Linked DNA regions of Drosophila melanogaster. The protein of the gene in region 2 purifies or fractionates together with the protein of the main gene of each other region. This does not show direct contact. Each region holds a gene or a part of one and is shown on either strand. Other genes may lie near its edges.

Region 1 (5,181 bases), about 21 Mb from region 2:
TTGTTGCACAAATTAGCATGCCCCATTTGATTGGAACGGCGGAGCTGAGCAAAGATTTGCTTAACTACATTCCAGTCGGCAGGAATAATATGGCCGAACTTTCCGACCGCAAAGTCGCTCGTTTGGGTGTTTATTAAATAGTGGTGCATTTCCATAATGTTTGCATTAAATGGCGCATAATCAGATAATTTAATAATCGCAAATTGGGCGTATTTGATGTTGAATTTTCAGTGACAATAGATTGAGAGTTCGATTTTGTTGAAACTAATCAATCATGAATATTCTATGAATATTTTATTCAATTTAGTCATTCTCTTTAATATTTATTGTTTAGTTTATAAGCAAATACACAGAGGCTTGAACCATACCCCGCACCGCACAAATTACCGTCGTTTAATGAGCTAATCAAATCAGGAAACAACGGTGAAATCAACTGTGAAATTTATGACAGTTTTCCGCTTCGCCTCGAATTAAGGATAACGAAAGGCAGTGGGGATGGGGAGTGGAGAAAGTGCCCGGCGTATCTCCGACTTTATTTAACTAATTTTGCATTTTCAACTCAAACTCGACTTTGGTCACGTATCCCTGCGGCTGGAACTTTGACCTGTTAAGCGCATAAAAATGACAAAAACGGTACGTGACTCATTAGCCGCTTTCGCCCAGGAAATGCCGCCGGGAGAAAGTGAGCGGGGAAAGCTGGCTTGGGCAGTTCAGCAGTTCAGCAGTTCATGAGCTTCGGCAAGGAAACCGGACTTTGGCAGCGCAATTAGTTCGGCAAGCTGCTCGGAGCGAGGCACATACGATCCTGTTTTGTGTATATGGCAACATATGCCCTGGCAGCAGCACATCCTTATCCCTGCCCCATTCGCAGGACTCCGGCTGGCTGAGCTCATGCGTTTTCATTTCCATTTCGGGCCCATAAAAACGGCAAAACGGAAAAACGAGAAAAGGCCGAGAGGCCGACCCAAAAAGAAGTAAATTGCAATGCAAATTTAATTTGGCTGCCATAAAACTCGACGAAAGAAAAACGGGCGGTGTTTTGCTTTTCGCCCGGCGAGGGGCGAGGGGGGCCAGACAGTCGTAAAACAGCGGCGGGAAAATCGAAGACTTTCTGCGGGGTTTGGGGTGGGGTAGCGGTAGTGGGGAATACGGGTGGAAGTGCGTGGCCGCCGCGCCAAGCCGGAAATGCAATTTGTAATTTTGTGCAACGATTTGTGGCAATTAATTGCTGCCCCACCACTTGCACCACCCGCCCCATGCGGCACCACCCAACTTTCGCCCAGTGCGCGCCAGACCGCAAGACACGGAAACCTCAATATTTATTTTTTGTTTCGCCTTCTTCTCGATGTTTTTTTTGTTTTTTTTTTTTTTTGGTCTGATACTTGTTTTTTTGCCTCTGCATTTGTTGGCGGCACAGAATTTATTGCATTTAATTTTTTTGCCATTTCTCTTCGAGTGTGGGGATTTTTTGGCATAGCTCGGCATCGAGTATTTAAGTGATTTCTGCTTAATAATAATTTAATTCCCAGCTTTTTTTATACGCCATGCCATTTGAAATCTTTTGTGATAATTTGCGCCGAAATCAAACAGCTGCAAAATTTGTATTTTTTGTTGGCTTTCCCCCGGCAACGTCGCCTATAGAAAGTGTGGCCGAACATATACATACATATGTATATGTGTATATAATCGCCTATATGTCCGTCTATATCTGTGCCGCGGTGTGTGTGATGTATAATGTATGGGAAGATTTATAATATTCGTGGGACCGTATAAACAATTCGCTAAGACGCACATAGAGAAATGGCACTTGGTATAAATAATGTATAGCCAGAGTTCGCCATGTTTTGGCCAATTTCACAAGCGAGGAGACCAGTACGGCAGAAGATCCCTTCAGAATATGAGAATAATGATTTATAGTCTTTCATAAGCCAAACGATCGGGGGTGGCCAACTATTGAGGAAATCATTCAGTTTTGGGCGGATTCTTTGGTTTAAACTTGTAGTTCCGTAAGAATATTTTCGGAAATATGTAAAATGGAATGTCATTTACTTTCGCAAAAATATGCGATGTTTTTATATAAATTCAATGCAAAAACAAGATGTTGTTTTGCGGCATATATCCCCCCACCAAAAGCTTGGTAAACAATACTTGAATCGAAAATATTTTTATAAAAATTTCCATGCTTAATAAATTTTAACGAACTGTTCTTTAAGTTGATTGCGAATATGCACTTAACATTAAAGCTTTTGGAAATAGTTTCCATTAAGAATTTCCCAAGTTCCCGAATTTTTATAGCTTCTTGAACGGTTTTCAAATTCAGAATACATATTGATTTTCATGGCTATTCGAATTATGTTTGTACTCAGCACACGCACAATAAGTTAGTTAATGGATAATGGCGGCTATTAGATGGATCCATGGGTCAGAGTTCACTCACCTCAGTGATCTTCATGGTGCGCTTCACCGTTTTGCGGGTAACTTCGGTGGTTTCCTCCACGACATCGCCATCCTCATCGATGGTCTCCGTTACCATTTTCTCGGTCTCGCCGGGAATCACCTCCTCGGTGTGCTCGGTGACCACGCTGGTTTTGCTCTGGGCATCGGGTTCGGGCTTGGTCTCCTCGGCGGAGCCACCGAAAACATCCTCAATGTCCGACATTGTCTCTGATTTATATCCTTTTCGATTGGAGTCGAGCTGATTCACTTGGCTTTCTCTCACGTTCTTGTGTTCACTTTCACTTGATCACTGGATCACTGATCACAACGATAACACATAACACGCAGAATTGCTTGGGTTTTCTTCTTTCTTATTTTCTTTCTTTTAGCCTGAAAAATACAAACGACCAGAGCTAGAAAAATGAATATTTTTTGTATATTCCGCTGGGCTTTTGGCAGCCGCTGGTTATTATATAAACAAGAGGAATTTCACGGCGCGCTGGTTTTTTAGTAACTTGTTTTCGACCTAAGGGCGGTATATTTAGAGGTACTGTAGATCCTTCGTGGTTTACGCAGATGCCTGGAGCCTTCGATCCTCTCGGGAAGTGCTCGATTATCGAACTGTAAAAACGTAACGTCGACCAGCGGCCACGAAAGGCGCGACAACAACGGAGAACGGAGAATTACGGAACAATGGGACTACGGAAGAACGGAACAATGGGACAACGGAATAACGTAGAGCCGTGGTGACAAAAGGCGGATAAAGCGAAACAAGTTGAAAGATGGAGCTATCGAAATCCCATCACATCACTTCAGCCTGTTTCGAAAACAAATCCGGAATAATTACGGAACAACGGAACGCACACGAGGCGAATTACACGATCACGGGTCTTCTACTTGCTGCCTCCGTCCTAGCTTCTTCTAATTCTTCTAGTTAGAATCTTCTGCCGTCTGCCACCGGAACCGACGCCGGAGAGCAGAGCGAGACGGTCTGAGTTCCGGAGGGTCTAGTGGGGCAGAGGCCCCCAATGTGTTAGCCGCAGGTGCGAGCGGGACGGCCCGAGACCCCCAGCGCTCGGGAGAGCGCCAGCAATTCTCCACACTCTCTCCTCCACTCTCACTCTCAGTTCTCTGCCGATCTGCTGCCGCTGCTGACGTCTGCTCAATTTTGAACGTTGATCTTCGTCGCGTTTCAAAAGTTTTTTGTTGCCTTCGTTCCGATCTTTTCTACACTGTGTGCCTCTACACTGAGAGAAAATCCTACCAAATTGGATTTACATTTAGAAAGCTTTATTTGGTAAAAAGAGGAAACTATCTGACAATATTTCGTATGTTAAAAAGTAAAAGTACAAGGCTGTGATCCCACATGTATCCTAATCCTTCCGAAATTGAACTCCAGAGTTCTATAAAATATCAAAATATCTGCAATGAAGTAAGAAGTGAGTTAACCATTTTTCTGAGTGCAGTATTTCTGTTCTTTCTTTGAGCAAATGTGAAATTTGAATGCGAATGAGTTCGCTCGCTAATTGTCCGCCTGTTGCAATTTCTTCGTTTGACCAGGCGAATGCAATTAGTGCGGCTGCCGGACGTCTGAGGCCCGTCAGAATGTGAAACTCCGCCGTGAAGTGCCAACACTCCTCATTCGCCATCTCATATGGTCTGTACTCCCCTTACTCCGCATACCCCCTACTCTCCATACTCCCCGTCAAAGACCCACGCACTCTTCTCGTCAATGTGCGTGGAGCTATTTTGGGTGGATTTAACAATAGACAGAAAAAAGAGGCAGCCAAGGATGAAGATAGTGATATCTTCCGACTTTGGAATACCTAAAAAAGAGATTTTGATAGTAAGAATAGAGTTTTACAATAAGAATTATAGAATGTTTATTCAAGAAGTAAAAATATCTTATAAACTTGAATTTAGATAGATTTTAAAATTAATTTACAAACCAATTTGTCCACTCTATCAGAGGGACTTACTATCCCCATAAGCCCGTGTTGCATTTCCCTTTTTCCAACATTTTTTTTCCAATAAGCCCAGACATCTCATCGATACCCTCTGTGGGCAAACAACTCTGAATCGGGTGGAATACATTGGGCTGATCCGGCTGGCCATTTGGCCGGGCGGCATTTGACGCCGTCTTTTCCTTTTTCATGCGCTTTTCTTTTTTTTTCCTTTATTTTCCGTTCGTTTTTTTCCCTTTTTCCTTTGCCGTGGCCAGCGTTCGATGTGCGAGTGGAGGCAGTGCATCACAGCCAGCGGGGCCTGTACAGGGTGCCTTGTGGCAGGGGCATCTGTCGGAAGATGCCCATCTCAAGTGATTTCACCTTCTGCCTTCTGTCCGATTTCTGATTTTGTGCTGATTCCGATTTAGATTTTTGATTAGCGAACGCTTTCAATTGCTGGCATTTGGGGGCTTTAGTTTTGACAGCGATGTGCGGACTTCCTGTATCGCATCGCGGACTGCACAAGATATATGAAAGACAAGTGTTTCGAACGGACCCCCGGTTTTCCCCGCAGCGCTGTGTAAACAAAGCGCCAAGCACACGCAAGACGGAATATTCTAAAATTAATTCTCGAAAATGTCTTTTCAGCTCGGCAAACGCAGCGACATGATGCGGGACAAATGCCTGAATATAGATACATCCAATGGATGTGTCTCTGATGAGCAAATGCAATTATGTGGCATGGGATCAGGGGCAGGGCGGAGTTGCGGGCGCTGGGTAATGAATAGAGCCACGAAAT
Region 2 (3,356 bases):
AGTAACAGAAAAATAGTCTAGTGAAATCTTTAAACAATTAAATCAAAAGGTATCCCTACAAGAAGATTCTTTAAAGTAGCTCATTCAAGTTTTAATAAATCGAGAAAAACATAATTTTTGCAATTAAACAAAACGATAAGAAATTCTGTACAATTGCGAACGAAAAGTATGCAAACAGTTACTCCTCTCTACATACATATATATGCATAGCTATATAACCCCAAGTGAATCATACTCGAACAAAAAAATGAAAACGAAAATGAAAAAGAAAATTAATAAGAAAATGAACAAGATTATAATGCAGATTGCGACTAAAACTTTACGGTAATGGCGCGCTAAACGGCCAATAATAAAATGAAAGCTAAGCTAGGTAGGCGATGGATCGGTACCGACGTTAGGTACAGTGCGGAACATACATGTATATCGAATGTAATGGTTATGTTATGTAATGCGTTGGCGCATCTGTATGTATGTAATAGTATTTATAGAAAATTTGTTGAATACATATATACACACGCAGACACACAAACACAGAGAAACACTCCAACCAGGAAAGCCAATAAGTGCATACTACATACACAGAAACATTATAACGATCCGCATCCAGGATGGAAAATTAGAAATGCAAAGTTAGGACGGTACATAAATGAATTACGTGAATTACACACTACACATTTAAGAACGATTATATAAAAATGACAAAACTAATAAAAATTATATTATAATTCAATGAGCTTTCACTTCGACTTGTGCTGGGTGCTTTGGAAATCCATTTAATATCAAGCATCTTTATAAATGCAATGTAATATATCTTAAGTTTTGATTATTTTTTTGCGAATTCAGGTGGACAATCTGGCTGGGTACTGGGATGAGTGGCTTTGAAGACATCAAGTTCTTGTAGTTCCTGATTCAAGCGTACTATGGTGGGATATGGGGTCAGGTCAGCTTTGTATCTGGTTAGGAGTTTTAAAATAAATCAGTATCCAGTTAAATTTAAATAAATTAATGTTTCTTACCTCCTGGCATTGCGCACCTGAGGTACCAGGCAAATATCAGCCATGCTGAGCTCATCTCCCACACAGAATTTGCCCGCCGAATGGGAAAGAACCTTTTCGAGACCCTGAAATCCTCGAGAAATCCAGTGTTGTGCCCATTGCAGACTCTGATCCTTGCCTATATGATCTAGGACAGATACATTTTGCAGTGGCTGGATGCCCGAGCAAATGAGCTCCACAATTTCACGGATCTTTGCTCTTTTAACCGGATCTTGGGGCAGAAGTGCTGGCTGAGGTCGAGTTTCCTCCAGGTAGTGGATAATAGCCACCGAGTCGCACAAGGTATGGCCATCTAATGCCGCAAAACTCATAGATTTGAAATACTCAAATTGCTCGCTTCACTTACCAATCTTCAACGAGGGAACCTTTTGCATCGGATTGACTTCCCTATATTCATCCGTATAGGCATGTCCGCTAACTGTTTTTAGCAAAGAAGTCGGCTTAATGTCATAATCAATCTTCTTTATTGCCAGCGCAACGCGAACTCTCCAAGAACACGAACTAGGCCAATAGGAATACAGTATAGGCTTTGTTGCCAAATGTCGGAACAAGGGCTTAGACCAAGAAGATCTGTACAGTCCGGCCAAATGGATACCTCTGTGGGTCAATTGGGTAGCAGAAGCCATATATGTAAATATATATTCTTTAAGAGAACCCTTCTATTAAGTAACAGAACTTATAGTGAGAAAAACAACCGGTTTACTTTTGCTAACTGATAGCAATAAGAATACTCAGCTGTTCTGATTGGAGAATGCTGTGCCGAACTATCGATAGGTTCCCTACATTTATAGGTTGCTCCCAAGAGTAGGCAATTATTTTCGTAATATATTCAAGTAAATGGCACAAGGGTACTTTATGATAAAGATCCTATAGGTGTAATGCAATTTTATGAGTTTTTTATATTTCTTCAAGTAATGATAGATATCTGTGATTTGCCTACTCTTTTTCGTGCTGCTTTTGATATATTAAAAGTACATTTGTTGAGCAATATTTCAGCTTAGTTTGAAGTTTTATTTATTTATAGTATATGGAACTGTTACAATATTTCGGAAATTATGCATATTAGTTGGTTCGTATTCAATTTGGTATTCGATTCGATTGGTGTGCGAAAATGCGCAGCTCGACCTATATGTATGTTTGTATGATGATGACTATTGGCGTTCGTTCTTCGACTCGTGCGTTGTACTGTCGTGCAGGATAGTAAGTATGGGTGTTTGTGTGTATGTACTTGGCATCGGCAGGCTTATGTTTATAACTACTCGTACGGGGTTGTGAGGAGACTCACACGGTCCAAGTTACATCAACTTGCTAATAAAATTACTGTGCACTTAATCGGTTCGCTTTGTATTTCGTCTATGTGCATTGGATTTAGGGAAATACTTCGTTAGTTAGTTATGCTTTCGTGGTATCAAAGAGGCATTACGAAATCCAGAACCATCGAATAGGTGATCGATTCTTTAGCTTAGTTCACATAAATTACTTAGGATTTATTCGATTTAGTGTATATGTAGCTTGCTTTAGTTTACTTATTGGTTGACTGACGTTTTGTACTTTGTGAACGATTTGTTTAGCATCTGCCCTTTGACTTTGACATGAAGTACTTATACATACATACATACATACATCGTTTATACTTGTAAATCTTCGATAGTGTTTCTAAATTTGGTTTTGGTTTTTTTTTTTTAAATCCCTGAATTGAATTTTGCTTTTCGTCGTGAGTTCTCCTTGAATTTGTTATGATTTGTTAGCCTAAATAAAATGCATAAAAATAAGTTACATTTAATATATATGAGTTCATCTTTTAGATCATATTCACAATGACAAACTAAGGGAATTTGAAGAATTTATTATACGATTTTTTGTTCCGTTTTCTGAGAATTTTGCGTTTGCGTTTGCGTTTGAATTTCGTGTGAGGAATTTCGTTATGTTATCGATAGTATTTTTATGCATTTATGCATATTTAAATGCTGTTAGCAATTTCTTAAATCACATCCGACTGTTTCTGCTTAATGGAATCCTCGCCAGCTTTGCCATCCTATCCAATCCATTCTCCATCGCCATCGCCATCCACGTGCCCACCGATCAGATTTAAGTTCTTAGTTTGTCTTGTGCCTGGTTTACGAACTGCAATTCACTTTTTCGTCTTACGGCGCTTTGCAGTTGGGGTCGGAAAATTCTATTTGTTGGGCAGCTCCGGCGGACAGTCCGGTTGATTGGAGGGATGGGCCGCCCGGAATGCCGGATTGCTCTCCAGTTCGCGATCGATGCGCAGAATTATGGGATACGGTCGCAAGTCGACGT

The links.
Region 1: the proteins of GstZ1 (region 2) and tmod purify together in Drosophila melanogaster (affinity purification with mass spectrometry, with the first as the bait; one large-scale study listed by BioGRID). This does not show direct contact.

What each region holds. Positions count from the first base shown.
Region 1 is NT_033777.3:30,530,764-30,535,944, reverse strand, and holds the start of tmod (tropomodulin), read right to left. Parts: upstream 3,109-5,181; 5' UTR 2,963-3,108; exon of another isoform or gene 2,850-2,962; 5' UTR 2,660-2,849; coding exon 2,438-2,659; intron 1-2,437.
Region 2 is NT_033777.3:9,454,765-9,458,120, forward strand, and holds GstZ1 (glutathione S transferase Z1), read right to left. Parts: upstream 1,783-3,356; 5' UTR 1,682-1,782; coding exon 1,402-1,681; intron 1,348-1,401; coding exon 1,017-1,347; intron 954-1,016; coding exon 824-953; 3' UTR 753-823; downstream 1-752. Other genes in the region: GstZ2 (glutathione S transferase Z2), read right to left, coding at 3,232-3,356. UniProt on the Drosophila melanogaster protein: Catalyzes the glutathione dependent oxygenation of dichloroacetic acid to glyoxylic acid in vitro. Possesses low glutathione thioltransferase activity toward 4-hydroxynonenal (4-HNE).